3 linked regions of the Ovis aries genome follow. The protein of the gene in region 3 purifies or fractionates together with the protein of the main gene of each other region. This does not show direct contact. Links are inferred from orthologs where the notes say so. Each region holds a gene or a part of one and is shown on either strand. Other genes may lie near its edges.

Region 1 (4,182 bases), on a different chromosome or scaffold from region 3:
TCTCTAGAAACTATATCCTACATTGTGCCAATTAGTTTTAATTTTTTCTGACTTCTTTATTCCTGGTGATATACTAAAACTAAAGTCTGCTAAAAGCAGATTTCTTAGGTGATTTCTACCCAAGGCTAACACATGTGATCACAACCACCGCAGAAGCACACAATAAAACGTGTTCAGCCTATTTCAAAATCATACTATGCTTTATGTCCAAAATCATCACAGATACGCTGAAAGCTGTCATTCCATAACTGAAAATGCTGAATTTGTAATAAGTTCTCTTTCTGTTGGAAATTTCAGACTGCTTTTATCTTATATGCAAACCAAGATATTAAAATATGCCTATAAACTTAACGTTGGATGAAAAACTATCAGCACATCTCTGACCAAGGCTGTAAAGAACAAGAGGCTAACACGCGCTGTGCACAAACAACTGCTGAGAATGAGGCTTACGCGCTTTACAAAGTGAACCAAAAAAGTCTTTATTCAGAAACAGCTGGGAGAAAAGTATGACAACTCCTGGAAGTATATAGTATGAACTGACTGCACTTCAAGAACACGCTAATGATGCTAAAAGCCCACAGCTGCGCCCACCCCACAGTCTGCCCTCATGGGAGAGGGACGCAGCCGGGTTTGCAACTCGGCACTCAAGACACCTGCAAACAGAACCTAGAAAAGCACAGGGTCTGGGCAGGTCTTTGGTTGTTTTTTCTAAGAACTAAGATGCTACAGGAAACACTAAGAGTGAGAATTATGCTGAGACCAACATAACACACTGCAGGAGGCAGGACAACTGTCACAGATACCTGCTTTTCCATACTCAGAAGCAGCGCTGTCATAATCCGGCTTCCATTTCAAAAAACCAGTTTTCAGGCTAAATGAAAGGAAGATACAGTTAACAGAAGTTATCAACCACATTCTTAAGTCAGAACCCTGCTTGTAAGGACTTTGTAGGTCTGTAAATAGGGAGAGAGGGGAACCATCAACTGGAAAGTCCCCATTAGTCTACCTCCATCCAAAGTTCCTGGACACACTTCATCACTTTCCCTCCCACTGTCACAGACATGGTCTCCCCCTTCTGAAATGTCTACATAACATCCAAGGAGAGTTGAGGTAATCACTGCCTGGTCCCCAGACGAGCAGTGCCAGTATTTGCTGCTAGCTCGCTAGAAATGTATGAATTGTTAAGCCTCCCCCAGCCCTGCTGAACCGGAAACAGGGTAGCATCAGCAGCATCCAGGGTGTAACAAGCCCTGAGGTGCACTAAAGCCTGGGACAGTCGAGGTACCGCAGTGAGCAGCTGGATTCCTGAGACTGCAGCTCAGGAGAGGCACAGATAACCTGAGCCATCAACACAGGCCACACCAGCGCCCAGTTAAGATCCTCCAAGGAGACTGCAGAGCGAGGCCAGAAAGACAAACCCTCAGAGGGACAGAGGGCGGCAGCAGGAAGTCTGCAATGAGCTGCAGTGGACAGCAAGGGCAACCAGAGGGCAGGGCAACATGGGGAGGAGAGCGGGACTGGAGAACAAGAGCAGCTGCTCTCCAGGACCACAGGCCAATCGATCCTGAGCCCACATCTCCGTGTCCTTTCCGTTGATGCTTTCTGTAACTTCAGACTTACAGCTTAAACTAACCCTGTGACTGTCAAACTTAGGTATGCATGCTGCTGCTGCTGCTGCTGCTAAGTCACTTCAGTCGTGTCCGACTCTGTGCGACCCCATAGATGGCAGCCCACCAGGCTCCCCCGTCCCTGGGATTCTCCAGGCAAGAACACTGGGTGTGCATAAGAATTGCTAAATAAAACACCATCTTAAATTCTGAATTCAGTTAGTGAAAGCCAAGGAATCAGGGGGGCACCTTAACTGAGAGAGGGGGAAGCCCCTATAGCCTGCAGACGTTCAGCCTTTCTTGTGTTCCTTTTAATTTGCCAATTAAAGTTTATGTTTGTGTAACTCTACTGTAAGGTTCAAATTTGTAAACAACTCTCAAGCTAAGAAAAACAAAACGGTTAAAATGCAGCTTGTCTACTCTAATCCACAAAATTGAGAAAGCATCGCAATAAAGCAAAATTCTAATCCCCATCCCTACCCCGAAGTCCTCATTATATTTTCCACCGTGTGTGTGTGTGCGCTCGCGCGCACTCAGTCGTGTCCGACTCTCTGTGACCCCATGGACTGTAGCCGGCCAGGCTCCTCTGTCGTTGGGATTCTCCAGGCAAGAATACCGGAGTGGGTTGCCATTCCCTTCTCCAGGGTTCCTGACCCAGGGGTGGAAACCGCGTCTCCAGCTCTGTCAGATGGATTCTTTACCACTGAGTCACCTGGGAAGCCCCATTGTCCACCAGAACTTTTAAAATTCCACCAAAGACAAGACACATCCGTTAAGTCATCTTGTTGCTACACTTGGGAAAAGCTAGAGATTTTAAAACATAGTTGGGCCAGGTAACTGCCCAAAGAGCCAGGAACCAGGAGCACCTGCGCGAAGATACAGAGAGATGCGCTCGGACCCGGCAGCGCCCCCACCGCCCAAGGCACGCCCACTTCCGGCGGCGGAAGGCAGCGCTTCCGGGGCGCGGCGGCCCCACCCCGTCCGCCCGGCTCCGCCCCCGCGGCAGAGCCCCCCACCTGGTGCTGACTCAGACTGGCCTAGGAGGCGCCGACCCCGGCGCTCGCCCAAGGCCGCGCTGGGCCCCTCACTCACTATTTCTCTGCTTTGGCCAGGTGTTCCAGCCCCTCGTTTATCTTCTGAGCCGCCATCTCCGCGGCGCGGCCCTGACGTGGAGGCCGAGAGCCCGCCGAGTGGGCGTGGGAACGCCGAAGAGGAGGCCGGGACGGCGCCGCCGCCGTACTACCGGGGCTCACAGGGCTCAAACCTAGCGCAGCGAAGCGGCCCGGAAGCCGCGTAGGCGCTATGCAGACAGACGTTATGCACGCAGACGTTGTGCAGGCGCAGAGCGCGCGGAATGGTCGCACGCGTGGCTCCTGCGCAGGCGCGGTGGGTAGAGAAGGAGGTTCGTGCATCTATTGCCGGGGTTGAGCTCAGGTGTGTTGAGCACCTGTTATGTATCAGGTGCGGTTCTAACCACGGCAGGTCTGCAGGGAGTGCAACAGGCCGGACCCCACGCCGGTGGACCTCACCTCCCTCTCCCAAGAATGCGCGTGGGCGTTGCGATCTGTTCCTTTCCTTTTTCGGCCGGAACAGTCTGGATCATTCATCCTACATCTGGGCCAAACGTCTGTCAGTCAATCTGCAAACTCGACTGTGCGTCCGGGTCACTGCTGGGTAACCACGGGCTGATGCTCATCAGTGCGCAGCGGTTGAAGGTCGGGGGCAAGGGATTCGCAGAAATACTAGCAAACCAGCTGCCGACCCACGACTCACGGTGGTTCCAGCATATAAGTGGACCCACACAATTCATCCCATGTTGTTTAAGGGTCAAGTGTATTGTATTAATAATAACTCACATTACGCCCATTTAGGTGCATGGACGGATTATAGATTTCCAAATGTTTTTAAAGAAAAAATCACAGTGAACTTTACTGCATATGGGGCTTTTTTGAAATTTCACTAATAATTTGAAAGTTGGGCTTGAGAGTTTACTAGGTTTGATTGAAGCGGGCTGTCAAGTGGCTTTCTCCCCCCTCTCTCAGGTTCTGCGGTCAGAGGCCTGTGGGCTCTGTGTCCTGCAGTTCCGCCTAGGAACACCAGGTGGCACTACGTGCACGTGCTTTTACAACCTGGAAGTACCCAAACAAAAGAGATGATGACATTGGATGACAGGGTCAAATTCGGTTTTGCTTTCTTACTGAACTTTTCACATAAAAGCGATGCTCTCACTATGTTGTAGGTAAGTTATGCAGTGCTGCCCAAGAGCTCTGAGTGCAGTAGAGCTGGGACGATCTACAGTATTGATGTCCAACATAAGTCACTTTCGCAGGTGCTTGAACCAGCACAGTCCTCTTGATGAGCATCACTCAAGACGGAGAAGAAACTGCTGCACAGCGTGGCATGAAGTATCTTAGTTCCCTAATCAGAGATTGCACCTGTTCCCCCTGCATTGGAAGCTCAGTGTCTTAACCACTGACCACCAGGGAAGTCCCTTGTTCCCTTTGAATAAAAGGGAATAAAACCACCTACTGACTTGGCTTCGTGGAGTCCTACTCTGTATTTTGTTGGACTGCTT
Region 2 (4,231 bases), on a different chromosome or scaffold from region 3:
TAGGAAAACAAAATTAAGTCACCTTTTATATCCTTAAAGAATATGTTATGCCTTCCTGTTCTCTATTTCCCATTACTTGTAATAAACACAATGCTTTTGACTCCGGGCACCCCTTCCTCTGTGGCAATAGCAAACCCTGCCTCTCAGAAGCTGTTCCTTTCCCATTCCACGCGCTCCTACAGGCCTGCCAATCACAGCACACAGGCCATCATCACAGTCCTAATCCATCCATGGGGTTTCACATAGACAGGAGCTAGAAGACAGGTGCTCTCCCTTGTGTCACCACCAAGTGAAGAAGGGCTTTCTGCGCTGAAAGAATAAAACTATCACAGAGAAAGCAAAGGTGAGAAAGACCGACACCTTGAAACTCAGACCCGACAAAGAAGTTAAAGCCCTGGAGACCAGTTCTGAAAGTTGGCTGAGTCAATAAATCCCCTTTTCCTCAAGCTTACGTGGGTTGGGTTTTCCATTTCTTCAAAAGACAAAAGATTCTGACTGATAAAAATGCAATGATATAAATTTGATACAGTATATCATGAAAAAGCATTTCTTCATAAGAGATCCCACGTAGTATGAACCATATCTCCTGTAGACTAATAAAAGCTATCTTCCAAGTATCTCCCAACAAAAATAATTACAGGTATATTTAATATAAAATGGCAATTAACTGTCCTTTTGGCCAACAGCTATGAGAAAAACATTCCTTCATACAATGTATGTAACCAATAATCCTTCCTCCATCCTCTAGGGTTTCCTAGTTAGTGAAATATGACATTTGTAGCCTGTTTATGACTAACATGCTCATTCTTCAAACATCAAGCCAAAGCTGATTCTCCGTAAATTCGTCTTCCAAATACAAATTTATAGAGGGAAATAAATTACTCTGCTTTGCTTTTGTTTGAAACTAAAAGGCTAGTTTCCACACAGCTATCCCAGCCGTTCAGAGCAATGGACTCTGAAGTGGGGCACGCGCACCTGAAAGGTTTGCAGGATAATCCTTTGGGGTATAATTTAGAACATGACACAAATAAGGTTTAGGTCACAAGTCTGCTTTCCAAATGAGACAGTACTTCTGCCCATAGTCACAGTCTGACCAGCCACCTGATCAAAATGTGCAGACCTTGTTTCCCACTCGCCCTAGGGTCTCTCTCACCTACAAAAGCTTCTTTCTCTTACATTCTCCTCTCTTCCCTAACTCTGAGCCCCTTGCCTAGTCAACTCCTACTCGTCCCAGTCTCTCAGCTCAGGAATTACATCTTTTAGAAGACCTTCCTAAACACCTTCCCCTCCTGAAAACACAAATGTCAAATGGAAGAATATTTTTTACTGTCTGTTTATACTGCATGAAAGACATAAGACTCTTAAGGACTGAGACTGTACCCTGTTCGCGTCTACAGTTCTCAAGGCTAAGACAGGGCTTAGATACAGTCAGTGCTCATCAGACATTTGTTGAACAGATGAACTTAGTATGTATGGATCAATACAATCTACCTCAACTGCAGAATAAACAATTCAAAGAACATGGATGCAAAGGACATTTCAAGGTTATTCAGGAACTGATACAATTTAATTAACACACAGAATTGATACACCCAAAGTTATTTTAAAATTTACAAAATGCTAACTTAACCTTTCCCTTTGTGAACTTGCTTTCTTGCCAAAGATTTGGTGTCCTTTAAAAGAGTGAAAAACTCTGTAGAAGTCATCTGGCTGGGTAACTGAAACAGATGCTATGAGCAAAAGGCCTCCCTACTGGAATCTAGAAGCATCTGTGTTTTTATGGCAAGCCAAGCAGGATATCTCATTTTCTCATTAGAATATAAGTCCCTATAAATAGTCGCTGTTTACTTATCACAATAAAGGCAAAGGAAAATTCCACAGTTTTTCTAATACTGACCTTGCCTCTAGGAAACAATGACAAAAGCCCAGCCACAATGTCCACGTAACTACTATGAAATGAACATATTGAAACTGACAGGAAATTTTAGTTATAAGTTTAACTATTTGAGTTACTAGAACATTTAACTGTCTAAAGACTATAAAATGTTTTCCTTAATAACTTGAAATGTAAAGAATTATTAATTCATCGCTTCTCAAAAGTATGAAAATCTCAACAAACCTTTAAAGGAAACCTTAGCAGAAGTAATTATATCATTGAGCTTCCCTGGTGGCTCAGATGGTAAAGAATCTGCCTGCAATGCATGGGAGCCGGGTTTGATTCCTGGGTCAGGAAGATCCTCTAGAGAAAGGCATGGCAACTCACTTCAATACTCTTGCTTGGAGAATTCCATGGACAAAGGAGCCTGGAGAGCTACAGTCCATCGGGTTGCAAAGAGTCGGACACAACTGCGTGACTAACTAATGACATCATTACTTATGTGAGAGCCTTTAAAGTATAGGAAGAGAACTGGCTTCTTCTCTTCCAAAAAAAAAAAAAAACGGGAGAGGGGTGTAACCAGGACTCCTCCAGACAACACTGCAGGTTTTCAAATTTAAATAACATACTTTTGTCCAAAGATTAGCTTTAAAAATTAGATTTCTAAGTATATGCTTTATTTTTTACTGAAGAATTAGTAGGGCAAAATTAAAAAGAAAAAAACCAAAGCATGTAGTACCTGATTAAAAGACCTCATTACAAATAACCGCAACACTCATGAACCCACTGGTCTTCTCTGTGGTGCTTCAGGCCTAGGTTACATGTCTCCAGAGACACAAATTCCTCCACAGGAAACGGAAGTAGGACAACCTATGTGAACCTGCTCCAGAGCCAGCTCAACTAACAGGTCTCGCTCAACTATGTGTTTCCTGAAAAATAACATTTTAGAAATGTACTGTGCAATAAAATAACCACTAGACGCATTATTAAAATTAAAACTAGTTAAAATTTTAACACTCAGTTCTTCAGGTGCACTAGTCCCATTCTGAGAGCCACACGTGGCTATTAGGGATCACTGCAGACAGTTTCACTGGACATAGCTAGTCTAAAGCAGTGTGAGAAAGGCCATCAGTAACACCTGTCTTGAGGCCTATGGAATCACTCTGCTATGACTCCTGAAATAATAATTTCCATTAAAATTCTGAAGTTCTGCGGGACTAGAAGTGATAGGTAGAAATAAGTCAAACTTGTATGTCCTATAGTAATCTTGTGGAGAGTCTGTAAGAATACCCTTCACACTATCCATCTCAGACTAGTAACTATTCACATAGATGAATCTCCTGACATCCCGTAAGGCCTTAAAATTCCTTTACAAAATTTATATTGGAAAAAAAAAAGAAAAGACTTCCCATTTCGGTATTCAAAAGAAACACACACACATATACACACACACACACACAAAGGAAAATGTAAAAGCTGATAGCACCAAATACTGGCAAAGACGTGATGCAGTTTCTTAAAAGGTCAATGTGCCCCAGTAGATCGATCTCTAGATTTTAAGTCAAGAGAAATGAAAATGATGACCTGTACACAAATGTCCACCAGCAACTTTATTCATAAATCAAAAATGGAAACAACACAAAGATCTGCCAACAGTTGAATGGATAAACAAACTGTGGCACAGGCATACAATGGACACTACCCAGCAATTAAAAAGAAACTACGTCCTGATATACGTAACAGCATGCGTAAACCTCAGACCATAACGCCGAGTAAAGCCAGATCCTTAAAAGAGGTTATTTAAGCCTCATCTTAGAATCAGATGAAATCTCAGAAGAGAAAAAATTAATCTAGAATAACCATACACACACAAAATCAGTGATTGACTGGGATGGGGGTGAAATGGACAGCAAAAAAGCAAGAATTTTTTGAGATAGTTCTATGTCTTGATCATATTTTATTGTGCAGAGGTTATACCTCAATGAAGTTGAGAAATGACGGTCTGTTTTTTTTTTTAATGGTTGGGCAGTCTCCAATAATTCCCATTGCAAAGATGGTATAAATGTTCAAACTACAAAATATAGTTTGGATGCAAGGTACCTACACTCATGCAACAAAGGCCTAATCAAGAGACCCAATCTCTTGCCTACTGCAAGAGAGATAGCTAGGTTTCCAGAAGAGACAGTTCTCTTTCCAACCAGGTCTCATCTCAACTGTAGGAATCACAAACCAGGAGAATGGCCAGATCTACCTCCAAAAGGCCGTCTAAGGTTACCGACCATACTGGCCTGCTAGTCCTGGGCACAGAATGTAAAAAGAGGAAGCATAAAACCTACACTCTTGTGTGTGTCTCAT
Region 3 (3,500 bases):
ATATTTTAGAATAAAATTTGTGATATTATAAACTCTTCATAAACATCTTTTAATTCCCACATAAAATAACATGAAGTGGATGTAGATAATTTACTTGACTGTTCTTTACTGTTGGATATTAAAGTCATCACTCACTTTTTAAAAGGAAACTACTGTTAAATACAATTTCTTTAAGAACAGTCCCAGGGGAAGTACAATTATCTTAGGAACATGGTAAATGACTAAATGCTATTTGTTTCTAAAAACCCATGCAATACCAGGTTGAGGAGAAATGAGAAGGACCTCATTCACAACATGTGTAAACTGAGGTGAAGACCCGGATAAAGTTCGTAAAATCAGAGTTTCAAATAATATGTAGAAAAATACCACTTTACAGAAAGTAGAACAATTAACCCCTATTTGTTCACAGCAAAATAACCCTCATATGATAAGCCAACTAATTCATACATAAACAGCAGTCCAAGTTGAGCCTCTGTCCATTTTCTGTGGCAACAGTCAACATAAATTATCTGCAAAGTCCTACTTTGTACCTATTACTATCCTAACTGAAACAAATTTCATCTGTTTAGGTTAGAAAATTAGCCTTACCCCAAATTAGGTATCATGCTAGCTTATCGGGATAGCTTTGTAGCTAAGAGGCTTTTATGTCAGTTTATTCAAAGTTTGATGCCTTTTTTGTAGATCTCTCTGCAAAGGAAAATACTAAAAATGGGGCTGGGATGGCAATTACGACTGCCTGCCTCCAGCTTAAGACCAAACAGACGGCTGCAGCTGTTCTCCATGTGTCAGTGACTCTCATGGCCCCTAGAGTCTACAGCAGAGTGACTTTCTTTTGTACCTGCTTTTACCTGATAGTAAGCAGCTCGCTGTAGCTGGTCAGTGGCTCTTTCTACATGCACCTCTGAGCTTTCCACGTTGGCTTCTATGCTGTCTGCAAAAGAGAAGGGCAGAGGATGTTTTACCACAGTCGGATGTTTCAAGACTGCAAACTGAAGAGCATTCTGATGCTAAGGGTCCTGTTCACCATCATCACTCCAACTATCCAGCCATGAGATCAAAAGTTACCAACCCCATAAGAGAACAGCCCTCTTCTTTGGAAATAAACACCAAAGAATTATTTAGAGGTAGAGGGTTATGAAGTATGTAAATCATCCACAACAGTTCAGAAAAAAATCAGGTAAATAAAAACAGTGCAAATAAAAAGCAAATGGGGTAGAATGTTAACAAGAAGTAAATCTAAGTAAAGCTTATAAAGGAGTTCCTTGTTATTTTCATTTTTGCAACTTTTTGTGAACTTGAAATTATTTCCAAATAAAAAGTTTTTTTAAAAAAGGGTTTCAAATCCCATAGTTGTGCAAGTTTCTGGAGATAAAAACTGAGAAGCTGACAGCAATTTCCCTAAACAGCCAAAGACTTAACATGAGGCTACGGCAAGTGAATGGGCTATTCATGGAAGCCTCAGTTTAATTTCCACATTTGACAAGGTAAGAAAATTGCTAAGAAAATGAATTTAGTGATTTTTAAATGGTATTCCTAGATTCCTAAGACACAGCTTACCGACTTCTTTGCATACAAAAACTATCCACTCACCTTTATGTTAAAGGTATCAATAATACATACCAATGATATCACCTTGGTCATGGATCATCATGGCCAAATCTTTAAATATCTGATTGACATCCAAAATATCAGCCTAAGGAACATACACACAAAAAAATTAACCAATATTAAGTAACATGTTGGAAGATTCATTTCCTCTACTTACCTAAAGTTCTGGCTATTAACATAACACATGTGTTTTTAAAGCTTATAAATCATGCTTTCTCTATAAACAGAAAATGAAAATAAAGTTAATTATTAACACTTACTAAGTGACTTCTGTATGCAGAGTACTATGCTGGTAGGTAATTAGAAGCACAGTCTCTTGGAGCCTATCAGTTACAGAGGACTGTTAACCCTTCACAGTCTTGTTCAACCTTAAATTGAGAACTTCTTTGGACCTCCCTACTAAAATGTGGACAATGACAGTACCCATCTCATAGCATTTTCAGAAGTACTAGATAAAAAGTTCTTCAGTTCAGTTCATTTCAGTTCAGTTGCTCAGTCGTGTCTGACTCTTTGCGACCCCATGAATCGCAGCACACCAGGCCTCCCTGTCCATCACCAACTCCCGGAGTTCACTCAGACTCACGTCCATTGAGTCTGTGATGCCATCTAGCCATCTCATCCTCTGTCGTCCCCTTCTCCCCCTGCCCCCAATCCCTCCCAGCATCAGAGTCTTTTCCAATGAGTCAACTCTTCTCATGAGGTGGCCAAAGTACTGGAGCTTCAGCTTTAGCATCATTCCTTCCAAAGAAATCCCAGGGCTGATCTCCTTCAGAATGGACTGGTTGGATCTCCTTGCAGTCCAAGGGACTCTCAAGAGTCTTCTCCAACACCACAGTTCAAAAGCATCAATTCTTCGGTGCTCAGCCTTCTTCACAGTCCAACTCACATCCATACATGACTACTGGAAAAAACACAGTCTTGACTAGATGGACCTTAGTTGGTAAAGTAATGTCTCTGCTTTTGAATATGCTGTCTAGGTTGGTCATAACTTTTCTTCCAAGGAGTAAGCGTCTTTTAATTTCATGGCTGCAGTCACCATCTGCAGTGATTTTGGAGCCCCCCAAAATAAAGTCTGACACTATTTCCACTGTTTCCCTATCTATTTCCCATGAAGTGATGGGACCGGATGCCATGATCTTCATTTTCTGAATGTTGAGCTTTAAGCCAACTTTTTCACTCTCCTCTTTCACTTTCATCAAGAGGCTTTTTAGTTTCTCTTCACTTTCTGCTGTAAGGGTGATGTCATCTGCATATCTGAGGTTATTGATATTTCTCCCGGCAATCTTGATTCCAGTTTGTGCTTCTTCCAGCCCAGCGTTTCTCATGATGTACTCTGCATAGTAGTTAAATAAGCGGGGTGACAATATACAGCCTTGACGTACTCCTTTTCCTATTTGGAACCAGTCTGTTGTTCCATGTCCAGTCCTAACTGTTGCTTCCTGACCTGCATATAGGTTTCTCAAGATGCCGGTCAGGTGGTCTGGTATTCCCATCTCTTTCAGAATTTTCCAGTTTATTGTGATCCACACAGTCAAAGGCTTTGGCATAGTCAATAAAACAGCTGCTGCTGCTGCTGCTGCTGCTAAGTCGCTTCAGTCGTGTCCAACTCTGTGCGACCCCATAGACAGCAACCCACCAGGCTCCCCTGTCCCTGGGATTCTCCAGGCAAGAACACTGGAGTAGGTTGCCATTTCCTTCTCCAATGCATGAAAGTGAAAAGTGAAAGTGAAAAGTGAAAGTGAAAAGTGAAAATGAAGTCGCTCAGTCGTGTCTGACTCTTAGTGACCCCATGGACTGCAGCCTACCAGGCTCCTCCGTCCATGGGATTTTCCAGACAAGAGTACTGGAGTGGGGTACCACTGCCTTCTCCACAATAAAGCAGAAATAGATGT

Evidence for each region.
Region 1: the proteins of STX12 (region 3) and NAPG purify together in Homo sapiens (affinity purification with mass spectrometry; 3 studies listed by BioGRID and IntAct, counting the BioPlex papers as one, with this or other methods). This does not show direct contact. The link is inferred for Ovis aries from reciprocal best matches to the Homo sapiens genes STX12 and NAPG.
Region 2: the proteins of STX12 (region 3) and NSF purify together in Homo sapiens (co-immunoprecipitation; 4 studies listed by BioGRID and IntAct, with this or other methods). This does not show direct contact. The link is inferred for Ovis aries from reciprocal best matches to the Homo sapiens genes STX12 and NSF.

What each region holds. Positions count from the first base shown.
Region 1 is NC_056076.1:42,687,074-42,691,255, reverse strand, and holds the start of NAPG (gamma-soluble NSF attachment protein), read right to left. Parts: upstream 2,801-4,182; 5' UTR 2,756-2,800; coding exon 2,700-2,755; exon of another isoform or gene 2,474-2,699; intron 872-2,473; coding exon 804-871; intron 1-803. UniProt on the Homo sapiens protein: Required for vesicular transport between the endoplasmic reticulum and the Golgi apparatus.
Region 2 is NC_056064.1:45,304,005-45,308,235, forward strand, and holds the start of NSF (vesicle-fusing ATPase), read right to left. Parts: upstream 2,801-4,231; 5' UTR 2,634-2,800; coding exon 2,616-2,633; intron 1-2,615.
Region 3 is NC_056055.1:239,287,288-239,290,787, forward strand, and holds part of STX12 (syntaxin-12), read right to left. Parts: intron 1,694-3,500; coding exon 1,621-1,693; intron 932-1,620; coding exon 849-931; intron 1-848. UniProt on the Homo sapiens protein: SNARE promoting fusion of transport vesicles with target membranes. Together with SNARE STX6, promotes movement of vesicles from endosomes to the cell membrane, and may therefore function in the endocytic recycling pathway.